Linked DNA regions of Mus musculus. The protein of the gene in region 3 purifies or fractionates together with the protein of the main gene of each other region. This does not show direct contact. Links are inferred from orthologs where the notes say so. Each region holds a gene or a part of one and is shown on either strand. Other genes may lie near its edges.

Evidence for each region. Proteins that work in one complex are often made in the same cells at the same time.
Region 1: the proteins of Pgrmc1 (region 3) and Canx purify together in Homo sapiens (affinity purification with mass spectrometry; 3 studies listed by BioGRID and IntAct, with this or other methods). This does not show direct contact. The link is inferred for Mus musculus from reciprocal best matches to the Homo sapiens genes PGRMC1 and CANX.
Region 2: the proteins of Pgrmc1 (region 3) and Dusp9 purify together in Homo sapiens (affinity purification with mass spectrometry; 3 studies listed by BioGRID). This does not show direct contact. The link is inferred for Mus musculus from reciprocal best matches to the Homo sapiens genes PGRMC1 and DUSP9.

What each region holds. Positions count from the first base shown.
Region 1 is NC_000077.6:50,321,681-50,327,696, reverse strand, and holds the start of Canx (calnexin precursor), read left to right. Parts: upstream 1-2,023; 5' UTR 2,024-2,204; intron 2,205-6,016. UniProt on the Homo sapiens protein: Calcium-binding protein that interacts with newly synthesized monoglucosylated glycoproteins in the endoplasmic reticulum. It may act in assisting protein assembly and/or in the retention within the ER of unassembled protein subunits.
Region 2 is NC_000086.7:73,637,557-73,643,433, reverse strand, and holds the start of Dusp9 (dual specificity protein phosphatase 9), read right to left. Parts: upstream 3,994-5,877; 5' UTR 3,793-3,993; intron 3,242-3,792; 5' UTR 3,207-3,241; coding exon 2,630-3,206; intron 2,088-2,629; coding exon 1,632-2,087; intron 1,351-1,631; coding exon 1,025-1,350; 3' UTR 1-1,024. UniProt on the Homo sapiens protein: Inactivates MAP kinases. Has a specificity for the ERK family.
Region 3 is NC_000086.7:36,596,216-36,602,154, forward strand, and holds the start of Pgrmc1 (membrane-associated progesterone receptor component 1), read left to right. Parts: upstream 1-1,977; 5' UTR 1,978-2,071; coding exon 2,072-2,399; intron 2,400-5,905; coding exon 5,906-5,939. UniProt on the Homo sapiens protein: Component of a progesterone-binding protein complex. Binds progesterone. Has many reported cellular functions (heme homeostasis, interaction with CYPs). Required for the maintenance of uterine histoarchitecture and normal female reproductive lifespan.

The sequences.
Region 1 (6,016 bases), on a different chromosome or scaffold from region 3:
CATGATCAGTGCAAAATGTTTAATGAATCTGTGATAAAATAAGTTGTATTTTCTACCAATTAATTTGACAGGGCCTGATTAGTGTGTACAAAGAAATGATCAATAGTAATGTAGCCAGTGAGAAAAAAAAAACTGGGTGGAAACATGAGTACTGTTGCTTCAAGTAGGATCAAATCAAGTAAGAGAGATTGGGGATGAAGACATTGAGAAAGAATTAAGACTTAGAGACTGATGTCTAACCACTTATATTTTTGCTGACTGTTCAACACCAAGCTTCTAGAAAATTTTAGATAAGTAATAACTTGTGTTGGATGAATAAGCTATCTCTGATAAATAAGGCTCATCAATTCCTGAAGGTCTACTCAGGTTAACACTAACTGACTTGAAGGTATATGCCTAGTCTCTTTGTATTTGCTAACTTTGTTAAGGTTTAGCTGTTTGGATAAACTGAAACATAAAAGAAACTTGTAATATTCTATAATGACACACCATGAACAGACCAGAAGACTGACGTTCCCAGTCTCTTTGTGGACAGTATAGTTTAGAGCCATCATGTCCTCATTTTTATTAAAATTTCACATTTATTAATGTATGTATGTGAATTTGTATAGAGGTCAGAGTACAATTCAATCTCTTCTTTCACCACGTTGAGTTCTGGGAATTAAATTCAGGCCATCAGGTTTGGTGGCAAGTGTCCTTACCTGCTGAGCCATCTCCATTGCTCCCAAAACATTTTTAGTATATGGATCCCCCAAATACCTGAGAGTCACTTTTTTGCTCTTCTGTACAATTTTCTCATCTCAAGAACTTCCTTCCAACTCCACCTACAGAAAATTTGCATATCTATGAGGTCCAGTTCAAGTCTTTGTCAGTTTAGACAGAAAAGTTCTGCCTCAACTCCTCTACTCCTTCAGTACTGACATATTTTAACACCTCTCTGCAGAAGTCGATTTTTTGGCTTTCTTAAATTCAAGGCCATCTTGGGTAACACAAGCCAGAACTCAACCTAAGTAAATTTAGAATTTTTTTTTAAATTATGTGTACTGCCTGTGCCAAGCTGGCTTCAAATTTTCATTTTGAACATGCTCTTTATAAGGCAAATAAGGAAAGCAATTTCTCTTCTTTAAAATTAGGGAGAGAGAATTGGCGGTTACTAAATTGACCCAAACATCAAATCCTTACTGCCTTTCTCTTGGGGTGGCAGGAACAAAGCTCGTTTCACATGTAGAAAAACCTGCTGTTTCTTTCCACATTATTCAAAGCTTTGGGTCACCAAATACAACCCGAGGCGATCAGGATTCTCAAGGATCTAGCCAAATCCTTAGCCACTTCAATCTTACAGCGTTATCAGCATATTGAAAAACGAGTGGGTTATGAAAAGGCTATTTTAAATCTGCACATGGCATCACCCTTTTCCTCAACTCTGTCGCTTAGGTATGTCTGATTTTAACGACTAAAATCAGGAAACAGCACGGGCACATGGGAAAGTGACTCCATGTGGCTTGATTGTGAATCTAGGTAGTGTTTTGTTAGGTAAAGAGGTCTCAGGCTCCTGAGCTCAGGGCGATGACTCCGCAGGAAAGGCGGTGTCTGCTACCCAGAGGGATTTCACTCACTGCGCAAGCACACCGCCCGACCTCTCACCATTTGTGATGAAGGCCATAGGTCCCAGGCGGGGTTGGGACAGAGTTCCTAACTCAATGGGTCGGAAAGCCGTCTTCTGGATGTCCAACACACCCGCCCTGAGGGACTAGGGCGACCCACGCGAGAACGCGTGCCAGATCCGTCCGCCCTCCGCGGCGCGCGCCCGCCCGTTTGGTGACGGCCCGCCTTCCTCCTTCATACCCAATCAGCAACCACTTCCTGCCTCGCTATTGACCAATCACCACGCTCCACGAAGAATAGCCCTAGGGGGCGTATGGGAAGGCGCTTCGAGCGATGGCTGTATCTACCAATAAATTCTTAGATCTTGCGCAAAGGGGCGGGATCTGACGTTCGTTTTAGCCACTCAGGAACGAGGGGCGGACGCGGGGTTGGGCTTCGTGCGGTGGGGCTCGCTCGCGCGGCGGCCGTAGCCGAGGCCTCTTAGTTCTGCGGCACGTGACGGTCGGGCCGCCTCTGCCGCTGTCTCCACTGCAGCACGGGGCCGGGTGTGCGGGTGGGAGAAGGTGAGGGAGCCGCCAGTGGTCCCCGGGAGGCTCGAGGTGAGACGGGAAGCGTGTGCGGGGATCTCAGGCCCGGGACGAGCCTTGGGGGACTGGGCGAGCGGCGCCGTGGCGGAGGGGGTCGGGCGTGGCTGTAGGCTCGACGACTGAGGGGTCGGGCGGGCTTTCGAATGGCGCAGGCCTGGGCGGACGCGCAGGGCAGTGAGGAGAGCGGCCGGGTTAGAGAGGCTAGCCTGGGCAGCGCCGCCGGGGTCGGGAGGCGTGGCAGGTGTCCTGGGGTTTCCCTTGACCTCTGAGAAAGCTAACAACTTCCTACGGCTTTGCTTCTAGAGCTTTCTTAGGCCCTGGCCAGGCCCACCCAGAGGTGGGCTGAGTAATCCGGTACAGGTGTGGTATTAGAATTCGGCCTAGTAGGTAGCCCAAATAGCAGGGAAAGGTGAAGTAAATCCAGAGATAAGCGTTACAGATTAGAAAATAACTTGCCCAAAGGGAAGACTGGACCATAGCATCCTGATGAGGGAGTAGAATGTACTAGAACGTGTACCGCTTGAGAAACTTAAGGCTTAACTATTAAAGCACCTGCCTATTCGGTGGTGGATAGATAGTAATCCAGTGTGGGTGTTCACAGGACCTTAAGAGCAGGAGATACAAGCGAAAGTTCAGTTAGTGAGGGGAGGAAACTGAGGCCTAGAAGTTTGAAATGACTGGCCCAAGGTCATACAGGTAGTTCTAGTCATCCAGTTGGGATTGTAACTGAGCACTAGACCGTTTGGGTTAAAAGTCCTGGTTCAAGCACCTAACTGCAATTAATCGGGGGAGTGGGAATTTGGGAGATTTTTTTTTTCTACTTTAGGGCTCAGTCCCCAGGAGTAGACAGAATGACTGATGGGCCTTGTATTGAATTCCGAGGGAATGGGAATGAGAAATTGGATGTGTAGTAAAGGTTCAGTGGGTAGGAATCGAACTGGCTTCTTGAAATCCGAATGCCTTGGTCATTACACTGATACACTAATGTTTATATTGAAGGCCTGTGTGCCAAGACCTGAGGACACATTGATGACACTTTGTGTATTAACTGCTGGTCATGACACTAGTGATTGCATTGCTAGTTGTGTGAAGTTAAACCAAACTGAATACTAAAAGCTTGGCAAAGTTGAGCTACAGTCTCTTTACCCTTCAGAAATGGAAGAATCTGCCTGTTTTTTAAAAATAATTTGCCCTCCCACCCCTTTAAAGGGGGACAAGTTGGGTTACCTTAAAAATCTTTGTATATTTTCCAGTAACCTTTGAAAGGGCATGAACAGAATCAATTCTCATGTTGTACTTATACTGTAATTAAGCTTACAGGCCAGGCAGGGGTACACTACAGGTGAGCCAGGCCCTGAAGAACTGTATATAGTAGTGAGCCATTCACAATAGGAGTTTACCGAACTGTCTGTGAATGGGTGTCACCTCCTTGCTATCTTAACTCAACAGTGCAATTAACTCCTTAATCTTTCAAGAGCCACAAGGCATGTGCATCTTGACAACACACCTTGCATCCTTGTCCTGCAGAGGTCACTTGCCCAGTAAGAGAACTTTGAGGGAGTAGAGTGGCAGTTGCTAAGAATAACTGCAGAAGACTGTCCAGCATGATAACTTTAATTCCTATCCTTTAAAAATGGGAATGAAAGAAAGAAAGAAAGAAAGAAATGGGGATGAGTGTGCTACTTGCTTTGCCTTTGAGAGGGCAGATACTAAGAAACTGTTTGGGAAAGTGTAAGGAAATGGACAAATAGTATTGGCAGCTCATAAAAAGTCCTAAGAAGTAATTAAAGTGCCAAAGATAGTTGTAGTCTGTATAGCTTACTGTAAAACTCATTAGGAAAATGCTTGTTAAATGCTTTGTTATTGCTACAAATGCTAGGAAAGAATTTTTAGGCTTATTTAATTTTCTGTGTATGTGTGTTTTGCCTGCATGTATGTCTGTGTACCATGTGTGTGAGACCCATCATATTGGTGCTGGGAATCAAACCTGGGTCCTCTGGAAGAGCAGCAACTATGTCTTCAGCCCTGAAATTTTTCTTTTTTCTTTTTTTTTTTTTTTAAGGAATCTAGACAATTTTTATATTGTATTCTTGTCTTTAAAAAAAATCATTTTAAGATTTATTTAGGGCTGGAGAGATATCTCATCGGTTGGGGGCACTGGCTGTTCTTCCAGAGGTCCTGAGTTCAATTCCCAGGAACCACATGGTGGCTCACAGTCATCTCTAATGAGAGCCGATGCCCTCTTCCGGTGTGTCTGAGGACAGTGTACTCATATACATGAAATAAATCTTTAATATGTGTGTGTGTACTATGTACATATATATATATATTTAAAAATATGTGTATGTTGGTGTGAATATATATGCAATATATTATTCATGGGGGCCAGTAAAGGGCATTATATTCTCTAGAGTTGGAATTACAAACAGTTGTAAGCTGCCCAACTGGGAATTCAACTCTTAATCACTGAGCCATCTCTCCATCCTGCGTATTCACATCTTAAAGTGAATTAATAGGAAAAAGTTTCTTTTAAAAAAAATCACTTATTAGCTGGGTGGTGTGGTGGTGGCTCACCTTTGATCCCAGCATGAGGGAAGCAGAGGCAGATTTATCCCTGACTTCAAGACCACCCTGGTCTACAGAGTGAGTTCCAGGACAGCCAGGGCTACAACAGAGAAACCCTGTATCAAACAAAACAAAACGAAACAAAAACAAAAAACCCACCACCACCAAATTACTCCTATGTTTCTGTTAATGAAAACAAATCCAAGAAGGTGGTATATAATTCTTGGCCTAGGCCCAGGGTTCCATTCCCAACACATGAAGCAGAAACCCCCAAATATGACATGTGAGTAAGGTATAGGTCTCATTTATAGAGCAGGTCACACTGTTTCTCAGGATGTTGTTCTGTCTTTGTTATCCTACCTCATCCCCCAAATACTGAGGATGGACTCTAGAGCCTTGAACTTAGCAATTAGGAAAACACCACTACTTAACTATCTCCTCACTGTAAGGTGATCTTGAATTTCTGAGTTCACTTAGTCATCCAAATTCAGCCTCCCAAGTAACTGGGACTGCAGGGGTATGTAATCATGCATACTTTTTAAAAATTATTTTTTAATAGATGAGCATATAAAGTTGTATTTTTCCCCATTAAATGTAATTCTCAGAAGATACTTTATCTTTTGTTTGTGCATGCATGTGCCATGGCATTTGAACTTGTATGGAAGTTGGTGTGATATTTCTGGAATTTTTTTTTTCAGTATGGGTATTAGGGATTGGACTCAACCTGTTAGGCTTCTTGACAAGTGCCTTTACCCTCTATGCCTTCTCTCTGGCCTCTAATCATGCATTTCTATGTGTATGTACACATGAGTACAGAATCCCCCAGAGCTAGAGTTAAAGGCACTGGTAAAGGATTGTAAGCCACTTAATGTGGGTATCAGGTCCTCTGCAAGAACAGTAAGCACTTTTAATTTCTGAGCCATCTCTCTAGCCCATGTTTTAAATGTTTGACAAGGTAGTAGTAAAATCTGAAGGCGCGCGCACATACACACAAAAATAGTGGAAAGATGATAAGAGAGTCAGGGCACTTGCTGCCAAGCTAGAGTTCTATTGCTGGGTGTCACTTGTTGGAAGGAAAGCACTGACTCCTGGACGTCACCCTCTGACTTCCACATGTGTACATCCACAAAATAATAAATACAACTAAGTGCTTATATTTCTCCCAAAATAAAGTTTAGAGTATTTACCTTAAAATTCATTAAAAATCAACAAGTAGCCAGGTAGTGGTGGTACACACCTTTGATCCCAGCACTTGGGAG
Region 2 (5,877 bases), about 37 Mb from region 3:
AGATGGTCCTGCTGCCACAGGTATTGCCAGCTCCAGGCTGAGTATGTGAGTGGGCTAGTGTGTACACACACACACACACACACACACACACACAGAGTCTACAACGGGGTGTGGACTGCAATGAATGACCATGTGTGTCTGCAGCTTGGCCCCTTCCCTGCCCCCCAAACCAACAGTGGCTGTGTGAGACTCACAGTAGCAAAATTGAGGCCTTCATCTTTCCCTCCCTCCCCCTCAGCTCTAGCTCTGAGACCCTATCTCCTCCGGTGGCAGTTTGACCACCCTCAGTCACAAAGAGTCTCAGTGATCCTGTCAAGACATCTGGGGGAGGAGGAAAGAAACAGTCAGGGCACCAGATGTGTGGCTGGGATCTCGCCCATTGGCTCCCAGGCCCATGCCCTCCCATGTGACACTGCCCAGCAAAAAGCCACCCAGAGAGGCTGTCCCTGTGGATGCGGAGAGCAGCCATTGTGTCTCTGGGTTCACACCCTACAGTTCCAAGAAGTCTAAGCCCTAGTGAGAGAAGCAGGAAGGAGTCTACACGAGTCAAAGTGGCCAGGTCTGCTCCCACAGGTGGGCATTCGGGGACAGGTATGGAGCCAAGAGCAGGTTCCTGTGGCAAAGAATGATACACTCTTCCTGAAAATGAAACAGCAAGAAGGGCCAGGGCCCAGGCAGCAATCTGGAATGGTCTCTTGGATAGGAAGCCCCACTCCCACCCTGAAAAAAGAAAGTAACAGTCACAGACGAGGCAGGTTCTGGAGCATGGCCCCGCTCTAGAGCGGTGAGGGTCAGGCCCGAAGCCCGGGCCCACCAGTAGGCACGTGAAATAGAATCTGGGGCTGGCCTTGAGTGGGTGGGGCAGGTTTCTACTCTGTTCCTGCCTTGCTCCACCATCCCCACATGAGGTATTGCGCTTTCCCTCCCCCCTTCCCCTTTCCCCTCTCCCTGCTTATGGCTGCATCCCATCCCTGCTTATACTAGGGGTCATAAGTAGGGACCAGCCTATCAGCTCCATGCGGCTTTATGTGGGGTCCAGCTCAAAGACCCCATCACTGGTAGGGGTAGTAAAGAAGGAAGGTGGGTCTGAGACGGTGGACTCTGGTCCCCCACTGCCCCGCCCCCCGGAGCGCTTCCCCCCCAGGCGCAGGCTGCGTTCAAAGTCTAGCAGCTGCCCCATAAAGTTGAAGTTAGGTGAGATGTTAGACTTCTTCCGCTTGACCAAGTCGTAGGCATCGTTGAGTGAGAGGTGAAGCTTCTGCATGAGGTAGGCCACGGTGACAGTGACAGAGCGGCTGACCCCTGCCAGACAGTGGACGAGCACCCCACAGTTCTGCGACAAGGCCTCATCTAGGTAAAACAGGACAGAACAGAAACACCCCCTAAGGGTCACTATGAGTGAGACCAAAGCTATACGAATTTCTGGGATCACCATCACTGCCTCCCTACCCTGCCGAGACCATATCTGAAGGATCTCTCTCACTGGCAGTTGACCTGAGCTCTACCCCCACCTCCCCAAGTGTCACGTGGGCTCTGGGAATGGAGTCAGGAGGACGAGAGGCCAAGAATCAGTCTGGTGGGTGGAGATTGTGGAGGGGGAGGGACAGGGGGACAAAGTAGGGAGGACTTACCAATGAATGCAATGGCCTCCGGAAAGAACTGGGACAGATTCTGGCTCCAATGGTCAGAGATGGGGATCTGCTTGTAGTGGAAGTCACCATTCTTCTCAAAGAGGTTAGGAAGGTTGGGGGTGACATTGAGGATATAGCGGATGCCAAGCTTGGCCAGGCTCTCCAAATTGGCTGAATCTCGAGCACTGCCTAGGTAGAGATTGGGCAGGATCTGGACTGGGAAGGGTGGTAGCAGCCCAGCTGGAGGGGATGTGGTGTTCTCAGAATCTAGGCCACAGCTCAAGGTGTCACGGTCAGCCTCAGACTCTGCATCAGAGAAATCAGAGCTCAAGCACAGGCCACCTAGCCCCACCACAGGCACTGGGCTAGACATTGAGCCCAGGCCTGAGCCGGCACGACCACTGAAGCTGGTTTCACACAGGTGAGGACACTCGGCCTGGAACTTGCTGAAGCCACCTGTCAGGAAAGAAGGGCGAGGTCTTACTAGTTAATATAGCCTCTGGGCAGCCAAGTATCCCTAGCTGGGGCTAGGGAGCTGACACCACACAGCTCTCCGGGGTGGGGGTTGCAGATATTGCCAAAGGGAACGCATAAGCCAGCAGATTTGTTTAAACCACATGTGCTGTGCTATAGACAGCCATCCACCCTCACTCAGCATTAGTGACTGTTTCTTTGGCTGATAAGTGCCCAATGCAGCCCTTAGTCTTGGGGCATTATCCTGTGAACCAGGTTGTTTCAGGTCAATTCTCCCCATTATCCAGACTTATAAATGGGCTTGGAGGGATGAAGGACTTGCCCAAGGTCACGGTCAGCTCTGCCTCCCCAAAAGCTGTTGGGCAGGTTATCAGGAGGGAGGCGCTTACCCTATATTTTAGACAAAATAAGATTGAGTTTGCTGAAGGATAAAGTAATTATGAAATCCCCTTGGAAAGAAGGATCTTTTCTCCTGACCTGAGGCCTCTCCAGAGTGCTCTCTCAGGCCACTGACCCTCACTTACCCTGTAGGTAGTATGCTGGGTAGCCTTCTTCCCGCAGCTTCTGGAGCAGGACGCCCAGCACCGAGTCAGCATCCCACTCTTCTTTGGCCTCCGCTTTGGCCTCCGCTTTAGCCTCCGCTTTGGCCTCCGCTTTGGCCTCCGCTTTGGCCTCCGCTTTAGCCTCCGCTTTGGCCTCCGCTTTGGCCTCCGCTTTAGCCTCCGCTTCGTTCTCCGCTTCAGCCTTAGGTTCGGCCTCCGCTTCAGCCTTAGGTTCGGCCTCCGCTTCAGCCTTAGGTTCGGCCTTCGCTTCAGCCTCCGCTGCTTCACGATGGCACTGGCCACTGCTACCCTGGTCGTACAGGAGCACAGGGGCCGGTGGGGGAGGCTGCAGTGGTGGCCCAGGCAAGAGCGACCGCACCGACATGCTCCCCCTCCGCAGGCGGCGCAGCATCAGCGAGGGCAGGGCCACGCTCAGCGCCCCGCAGATGCGCGCCGACTCATACAGCTCCCGGCTGCGGCAGTCCAGCAGCAGAAGCTGTGGGCGCGGGGACGACAGCTCCTGACGCAGCCACAGGCATGACCGACTCAGACTCTCCATGGTCGCGCAGCGTCCTGCACGTCGGGCAGTGGGTGCTGTGGAGAGAGGCAAGGCGCGGAGTGAGGGCAAGTTTGTCTCTACTCCTGCAGCGTGGATCAGGCTACTGAGGCGGGAAGTCAACCCCTGTCCTGAGGGCAGGCTTTCAGTGTCCCCGCAGGGACATTCCTCTACCGCCTGCTTCTCTCCTCGCGCTCCACCCACAGTGAGAACACCAAGGAAGGCGCCCCTGGAAAAAGACCCGAGGCTGCCGCCACTTGGGCGCTGCTCCCTGCCCCGCTTACATGGAGTTTTCGTGAGACATACCCCAGAAGATAGCTGGGCGTCTACCGGTCTCTGAAGTGCTAGGAGGACTAAAACCAGTTCCCTCCACACCCCTTTTCTGACTTTCTCATTTGCTCTGATCTCCATCACTCCCCAAGTTCAATTTTGGATGTGTGGAGAAGTTGGGTTCAAGGCCCGGCTCTCCTCTAAAGCCCGGAAGACCCAGAGAACAAGAGGGTCACCGAGGTTGTGGGCCTCGGCGAGTCCCGTAAGAGCTGACTCGGCCCCACTCCTACCCACCCCAGGAGAGAACAAAAGGAGAGACCTGGAGCGAGATCCAGAGGCAGGCGACTGCACCCGGACGTCCTGGCCACAGCTAGTGCCACGGCAGGGCGTAGGTATCGTTCATGGAGACGGATCCCCCAGGCTTGGGCGCTCGGAGAGGGCGGGGTGGTGGAGCAGGCTCGCACGTGGAAGCCAAGCCTCGCGCCACTCGTGCGCCGGCCGCTTCCTGGCAGCAGAATCCAGATTCCACCTTGGAAGGCTCTGCCTTCGGACCGACTAAGTAGCAGCTCAAAGGGGCGGGACGGGGCGGGGCGGTGGGGCGGGCTCAGGGAGCAGGAGAGCCAACCAGGGCTAAGGAAAAGCCTGGTGGGAGTTGCAAGCCGCAGGCTGAGCTAGGGCTTCCACCCAGGCGGGACAGGGTCAGGGCAGAGGCCAAGGGCAGGTCGGGGGCCCAGCAGGGGACATGTTGCAGTTGCCCCTGCTTGGCGCCAGTCTGGTCCCTGGAAGCAGGAAGAGGGGTGGGGACAAAAGCCCAGAGCCCCAGAACCAGAAACTGTCTCAAACAACTCAATAATGCTGAACTACCTGGAACTAGATGGCCCCCATCTGTATAATGGGCCAATCAGAGCCTTCTAATGTATTTTACTGTGAGATGCCACTAAAAAACTGAAGGCACAAGGCAGCTCCTGGGTGTGCTATTTCCATCTGGGCTTCATTTGTACAGGCCTAGCTAAAGGTACACAAGAATTCCGAGCACCCAACTCTAAACTGAGACACTGTGCTCTTATCAGGTGAAGAGGGGCGCCTCCCCAAAGCCTCTTTCCCATAAGCCCCTGGATGGATCCACGTGGAAAGAAGTCGTTTTACTGCAATATGTCCCCATCCCCATTCTCCTTCTGGCTTTTCTAGTGGTCATGACTATACAAGTCACTGTCCCAGTTTTTGAAACTTCAGCGTGTCTCCACCCTGCCCCATTCCAGAGCACCATTCAGTCCACTAAGGCTGGTGGCCTCCAGCCAGCCCACTGGACAGGTGATGAACAGGAAAGACACACAAGGGCTCTCCTTGCCTGGGTGTTCTAGTCCAGCAGGACACACTAACAATAAGCAAAGGCACTGGACCAGATATCGGGGTGATAAGTGCTGACAATGAAAGGAGAGGCAGGGGAGGCTTCTAAAAAAGCCCCATCTGGCCATGTGTCCTTTCTCTGCTAAAAGCCCAAGAAAAGCAAATAACAGTTTTAAAGGAAAACACACAACAGATAAGATAAAGCTCGCACAAAATAATCAAAGGGTTAAGACCCCGTAGATAAATGGGTAAGGAACTCAAGGACTGCATACTCTGCCCAAAGGAAGGAATGTGATGGGGTAAGAATATATGGGGAAAGGTTGAAGCTCAGGCATGGAAGGAAAGCCAATTCAAAAAAATAGGGAAATACTTCCCAGTCACTACATTAGTAGAATGTTCTCAAAATGAGAACGCCAAGTGTTGGCAAGAGCTGACTGGGGCTTGATTATGTTGTGGACAAGTTAGTGGTGGCATGAGGCCATGGATGCAGACAGCTGAAGAGACAGTATCTTACCCTCCCAATCCTGGAGGTTGTGTACTTGGAGGGAGGATCTCCAACAAGAGGGAAATACTGGTATTCCCAGAAATCTAGCTGTGCTCTCCGGAGTAGGCTTTCTAGAGGAAGTGATAGGAACTGCCCTGGAGGATGAGCATGGGAGAGAGGCACCTCTCCATGAAGGTACGGGGAGCCTAGGCATCAATAACCCGTTCCACTCCTGTCCACACCTGAAGAATATTTTCCCTACACCTAGTCCCAGGCGCCTGCTGGCAAGGCCCCAATTCTAGCATAGGATAGGAGAGGATGACTGATGCTCCGTCTCCAAAGTCAGTGCTCAGTGCCCAACGCATGCCTCGTTGCAGTGCCAGCAAACTGGACAAATGGGAACCTGTTGCCACCCCCGCACTGCAGGGTTCGGTGCAGCCAAGGCCTCCCCTCGCCTGCCTCTACTAACACCTCCCCCCCCTGCCCCGCAGCCTCTGCTGGAGCTCTGGCCCCGCCCCTCTCCTGCTTCTGGATTCTCAGGCGGACAGGATTTGGGGAAGGCTGCTGCACGTG
Region 3 (5,939 bases):
CAGAGGTTGAAGTATAGTGTATCCCTTAATCACCCCCCCTTAGATAGCAGGGCAAAAGATAGTCTGTTAACCTGTTGCCCACTCCCCAGCTCTGCATTAAAGGCTAGCTGCCAAACCCTCATAGCTTTTATATGAGTGCTGGGGATGGTGAAGCTGGTCTTCCACTTGCATGCCAGTGTGTTTTGCCCACTAGGCCATTTCCTCAGCCTCTTAACGATCTTCCTATCAGTTAACATGAACACTGAAAGATAGATTCTTTTTTTTTTTTTTTTTTTTTAAATATTTATTTATTTATTATATGTAAGTACACTGTAGCTGTCTTCAGACACACCAGAAGAGGGCATCAGATTTCATTACAGATGGTTATGAGCCACCATGTGGTTGCTGGGATTTGAACTCATGACCTTTGGAAGAGCAGTCGGCACTCTTAACCGCTGAGCCATCTCACCAGCCCCCTTTTTTTTTTTTTTTTTTTGGCCATATTAGTTTCAAATGAAAACATTTTTCACAAGTTTGTTATTTTTTAAGAAATATCTTTGCTGCTCACAGTACTCTGTGAAAGGGATAACTGGATTCTAACCGGAGCTGAGTGCTCTCAGTTTGAGCTTGTTTCATGATGATTAAGTTGAAGAGTTTTGACAAAAGATCTGGAGGGGCCGGTTTAGCTAATCCTAAATTTAGCTCTGGGGGAAAAAATGTGTGGGCTGGATATAAAGAGTGTTTGACTCATTACACTTTAAGAAGATGGGGGGGGGCAGGGATTACAGCAGTGTTTGCCAAAAGTTTTCAGAATTTAGCCAATTCTCTGCACAAATCTCTTGCATGTAAGTGGTGTACAAACAGGATTGTATGGAAAAGTCGTGCCCTGCTCTGCAGATGTGTGCATGGCTTGGTTTTAATTATTCTCCTTTTTCTTATGTTACCGTTTCCCAATTACAATTTAAGGGGGGGGGCAGCCAGATTAGGTCTCTGAAAAATAGGCACAATCCTTGTTCCATAGAGGCCTGCTCCCGTGCAGCCTGTTTGCACACCAGAAGCCTGGGAATCTAAAAAGATAAAATCTAGGATCCTTCCAAACTCCAGCGTTTATCAGGGGCTGTGCTCAGGGTTACAGTGACTGCCAAGGGTAGTTTCCACAGACTTCAAATAGAAGAATGCTGTCAAGCAACGGAACTTTGAACATTATTCTGGTATTTCTATAGAAAAAAAAGGCTCAACAACAGAATGTCAGTTGTTGATTACTGGTGCCTTGTGACTAAGCATAATTGATGATTTCAAAAAGAAAAAAAAAAACTTTAAGAACAAACGCAAAATCTGGCGATCTGAGCTCCAGATTTTATAGAATTGACAGGCCTGTTACCTGACTGGCTGTCCTTTGGGTGTTAGTCCCACAGCTTTTGGGCAAGAATTGGAGGCGAACCATCCCAAAATGGATGTTCGAATAGTCTAGGACTGTAAGGTGAAAAGGAGTTGAAGGCATGATATTAGAGTATCCCAAAACAGCTACCTGGCTCTAAGGGTATGGCCCAGGGGAGAGAGTATAAGGGGCTTTAAAATAGAAGCGAAGCAAGAGAAATGCGACCTCATTTTAACTGACGTCATTTGCCGCGAGGAGCGGGCCCTAAAGTCAAGGCTTCCCCACAGGGTCAGCGGGAAGCTACCCACTGTACCCAAGAGACTGAGCTGTGTGTCTGCGAGCTGCACTATGATCTGAGGGTGCCCGGAAACCGGGGCAGAGGCCCAGCAGGTAGAACAGAGAGGTGGGCTGGGCTCGGTGGCCCTGGTTGACGGAGCGGTTGAGGGAGAAAGACCAAGACCCCCGAGGCTACATAGGGGGCCCGAAGCAGAGGCCGAACCAGGCCCAGCTTGCCCGAGCCAGCCCGAGCAGGGCGGGGCGCTTAGGTGGCCGCGAAGGGCGGGGGCTTATAGGCTCCGCCCCCGGAGCCCCGCCCCTCCCGAGCTTTTCTTCCTCTGTCAAAGAACGCTGCGCGCCACTGTTCGCTGGGAGGGCGGAGGAAGCGGACTGTTCCGGAGCTCTGCCTAGCCGGGCCCAACCTTTGCTCCAGAGATCATGGCTGCCGAGGATGTGGTGGCGACTGGCGCCGACCCGAGCGAGCTAGAGGGCGGCGGGCTGCTGCACGAGATTTTCACGTCTCCTCTCAACCTGCTCCTCCTGGGCCTCTGCATCTTCCTGCTCTACAAGATCGTTCGCGGGGACCAGCCCGGTGCCAGTGGCGACAACGACGACGACGAACCACCCCCGCTGCCCCGCCTCAAGCGGCGCGACTTCACCCCTGCCGAGCTGAGGCGTTTCGATGGCGTCCAGGACCCGCGCATTCTCATGGCCATCAACGGCAAGGTGTTCGACGTGACCAAAGGCCGCAAGTTCTACGGGCCTGGTACGGAGGCAGGGCCAGGGGGTCGTGGAGACAAAAGAGGGGACCCTGGCGTGGAAGCGGGGCGGGAGAGAGGCCGGGGGAGGTGGGGCGCCCCCGTGGGAGGGTCGGAGGGAAGGCGGGCAGCAATGGGAGCGGGCCGGGGGCACGAGGCTCTGGGTGGGTGGGGGTGCGTACGGGGGGATGGGATGCCCGAATGAGGCTGAGCCTTGGAAACCGCGGGTGGGAGGGACAGCGAGGTCCGAAGCCCCGGGATATTAGGGAACTTTTCGAAGGTAGTGGGCTTTGGGGCGGGGGTCCTGAAAAGAGGGGGAGACTTCGGATTTGAGGGGAAAAAATGAAGGTGTCTCCAGAGAGGCCCAGACACTTGAGAAGACGTGGAGGCCGATGACGCCGGAGGAGCCATGGTGGAATGTAAGGGTGTGTAAAGAGAGAAAGTGGAGAAGGGGATTAGTGTCAGGTAAAGCAGCATTGTTCCTGGCGGAGAATGTGTGTGTGTGTGTGTGTGTGTGTGTGTGTGTGTGTACACTGTGTGCATGCGCAGTGAATGTGTGTTTGGTGTACACCGTTTGTCTGGGGGGTGGCGCTTGGAATGTGACATGTGTTAGGTATGTCTTTGGTATGTGTATGTGCGTGCAGAGTGGGGTGGACTCAGGCTGGATGATGAATAAGCGACCAAGCTTGGTTGGATGCATTAAGAGCAGTGTGTGGTGGACTATGGTAACATGGTGAGATGGTCAGAAACACCATATTTAGTGTATGATAGAGTGGGGAGACTGGGAGGTGGAAAAAATAAAATGAAATGAAACGGGGGTGGGAGGGAGGAGTGGAAGGGTCCTGAGAAACAATAGGGTAAGGCTGTGAAGCCCGATGGGTGGGGGGATTTCAGGAAAAGCCAACCAAGGGGAAAACAAGAGATGGACAACTCCCCAGAAATGAGGCTTTTCCAAACTGGATTGCCTATCACAATCACCTGATGCTTATGAAAAATACAGATTCTTGGCCTGACCATCCATAGCCACACTTAGATCTCTGGGGCAGGGGAGAGGGCTAAAAAGATCTACATTTTACTCCTCTGCTGTAGGGAAATGGGGAATCAGCCAGATTTAGAAAGCCCTGCTTTCTAGAACATTTAGAGAGGAAGAAGAGGCTTTAGCTCTCCCAATATGGATTCCTCTAAGCACCAGGAACTCGGGGCTGGGGGGTGGGTATGTTCACATGCTCATTGGTCTGAGAGGGAAGACTAGCCAGCACTAATCCAAACCAGACATACCCACTCTGTTACGTCTCAGAGTCCAGCCAATCAAAAGCACATGTGCCAAAGGCTTTTTAGTGAACTCTCACTCTTCCTTTCTGCTTTCAGACATTTTAGAAAATTACGTTCTGTAGGCATGTGACTGCAAAATAATAGGAAAACTACATATTGTTTGTCACTGTAGTCACACATTATCCATAAACAATGGTGTAATTACCCATAATTATTAAGCTAAACCATAAGGTAATCAACACAAATGCACGAGGCCTCGTCATCTGGTTGTATTTGCAAAGTCATCACATGGGGATCCTCCGTGCTTTCAGAGAGCACAGCTGGAGTCAAGCTGTCTCCATTCTAACCAGGTAGGTTACAGTTTGCAGAGTCATCCTGCCGGATATCGATGTGTGTACTGGAACAGCTACAACTAGGAGTCAACCTGCACTCTACATTCTAGCCTCGCTGTTGTCCCTGACCAGCTGTGTGATCTGGTGCAACGCCCTATGGTCTCAAGGCCTTAGTTTTCCCTCTGGGAACATAAAAAGACAAGCACGCCCCCAGTGTGAGGAGGCCAAGGAACACTGATAGTATCATAGTGGAAATATTTTCTGTTACAGAGTACTCTTAGAAGTGAAGCCATTTGAGTGTCTAGTACTCTGTACAGCACAGTCGTAGATGCTAGCGAGTAGCAGTGAGTGAAAAACACAAAGCTCTGCTCACCAAGCATCTAGTTAATATGCTTTGTAGTGAACAAAATATACTCTCCAAAGACTATTAATATTTGCCTTAGATCTTGTTTAAGTATGCATTACCAGTCCAGGGACTGTAATTTCTAAAATGGTAAGAGTCCAAACCAAGACTTTGACTTTGTTTCCAAGCACTAGGTGATACTATTTCCATTAGCAGTATATATTTTGTGAAAAGCATATGAATTTTGTTCTTTTTAAACCTTCTCTAGTGGCAGCATGCAATGAGGACTGAAACCAACCCCTATTTTAGAATCTTAGTTGCATTTACAAGATGATCCTAAGGGTTTGAAGTATATCTCAGCACTAGGGTGCTTTCCTAGAATATGCAAAGCCCCAGTCCTACAAAAAATGGATCTTAATATGTTAGAAAGAAAAACAGTTTGGTCGACTAAAGTTTCAGATAACCACACTGTAATGAAATACCAGCCATTCCTAGTTGGTATGACGATTTTAATGTCAGAGTTGCTATCTAGCCTCCTTTTGGGAAAACGAGGCATTGCTTAAAGTACTCCGAATTCCTTTCATTTGTTTGTGCAATATTTAACTCTAAATAACCACTTCAGGTGGATTCAGATTGATCCACTGTCCTCAGACAAAAGCTTGCTATGATGTTATACATAGTAGCATTTTTCAGGTTTTAGGAGATTATTTGAAGGCGTTGATTGCAGCCCTTTTCAGTGAAAATTTTAGTGTTTTCACTGCTGTTTACACTCATTTGTATGCTTACACTTAATAATAGTACCAAAACTGATCTCCCTTGTTGTGAGTTCTGATTTAAATAAGACAGTAAAGGTTATATAACGCAGAGAGGCTTTGGAACCACTGGTATTTGTAAAATGATTGTTCTTGCAGATGCCTTAGGGTTCATGACTTGCAACTAAAGATCATTTAAAACATATCAGAATATGTTGATAAGAAAATGTTTTCATTTACACATTAGTGGTTAGAAACTGTAACTTTGACTGTCTTGGCTCAAGCACCCAGAATAGAGCCAACCTGTAGATACAAAGTCTTTGAGCTGAATTCTAACCCATGGAGTGTATAATCAAACAATCCCCATTAAGGCCACCGTCAAAAGAACTACTTGAGCTTATATTAGCTATGTGCAGGACATAGATTTCAAATGCTACACATCTTTATTTCATTTTACTTATCAAAGTGACAGTAAGTCTGTCAATGCCCTTATGTAATGATCAAAGTGTATTCGTGCAGCTCAATAATGGAATGTGAAGCCAGGAAGTGGTGGACTCCTTTAATCCCAGCACTCAGGAGGCAGAGGCAAATGGATCTCTGTGAGTTCTCTGTGGCTATTCTGGTCTACAAGAGTGAGTTCCAGGACAGCCAGGGCTACACAGAGAAATCCTGTCTCAAAACAAACAAACAAACAAACAAATTAAAAGGAGGCTTTTGGTGTTGAAAGCAAGGAAGCCGTCTTCTGTTTACGTGAGCCAAGGAAAAGTGTATTATCTAATAAAGAATCTGTCTTTGGTTTCATTTTGTCTTTAAAGAGGGGCCATATGGGGTCTTTGCCGGAAGAGATGC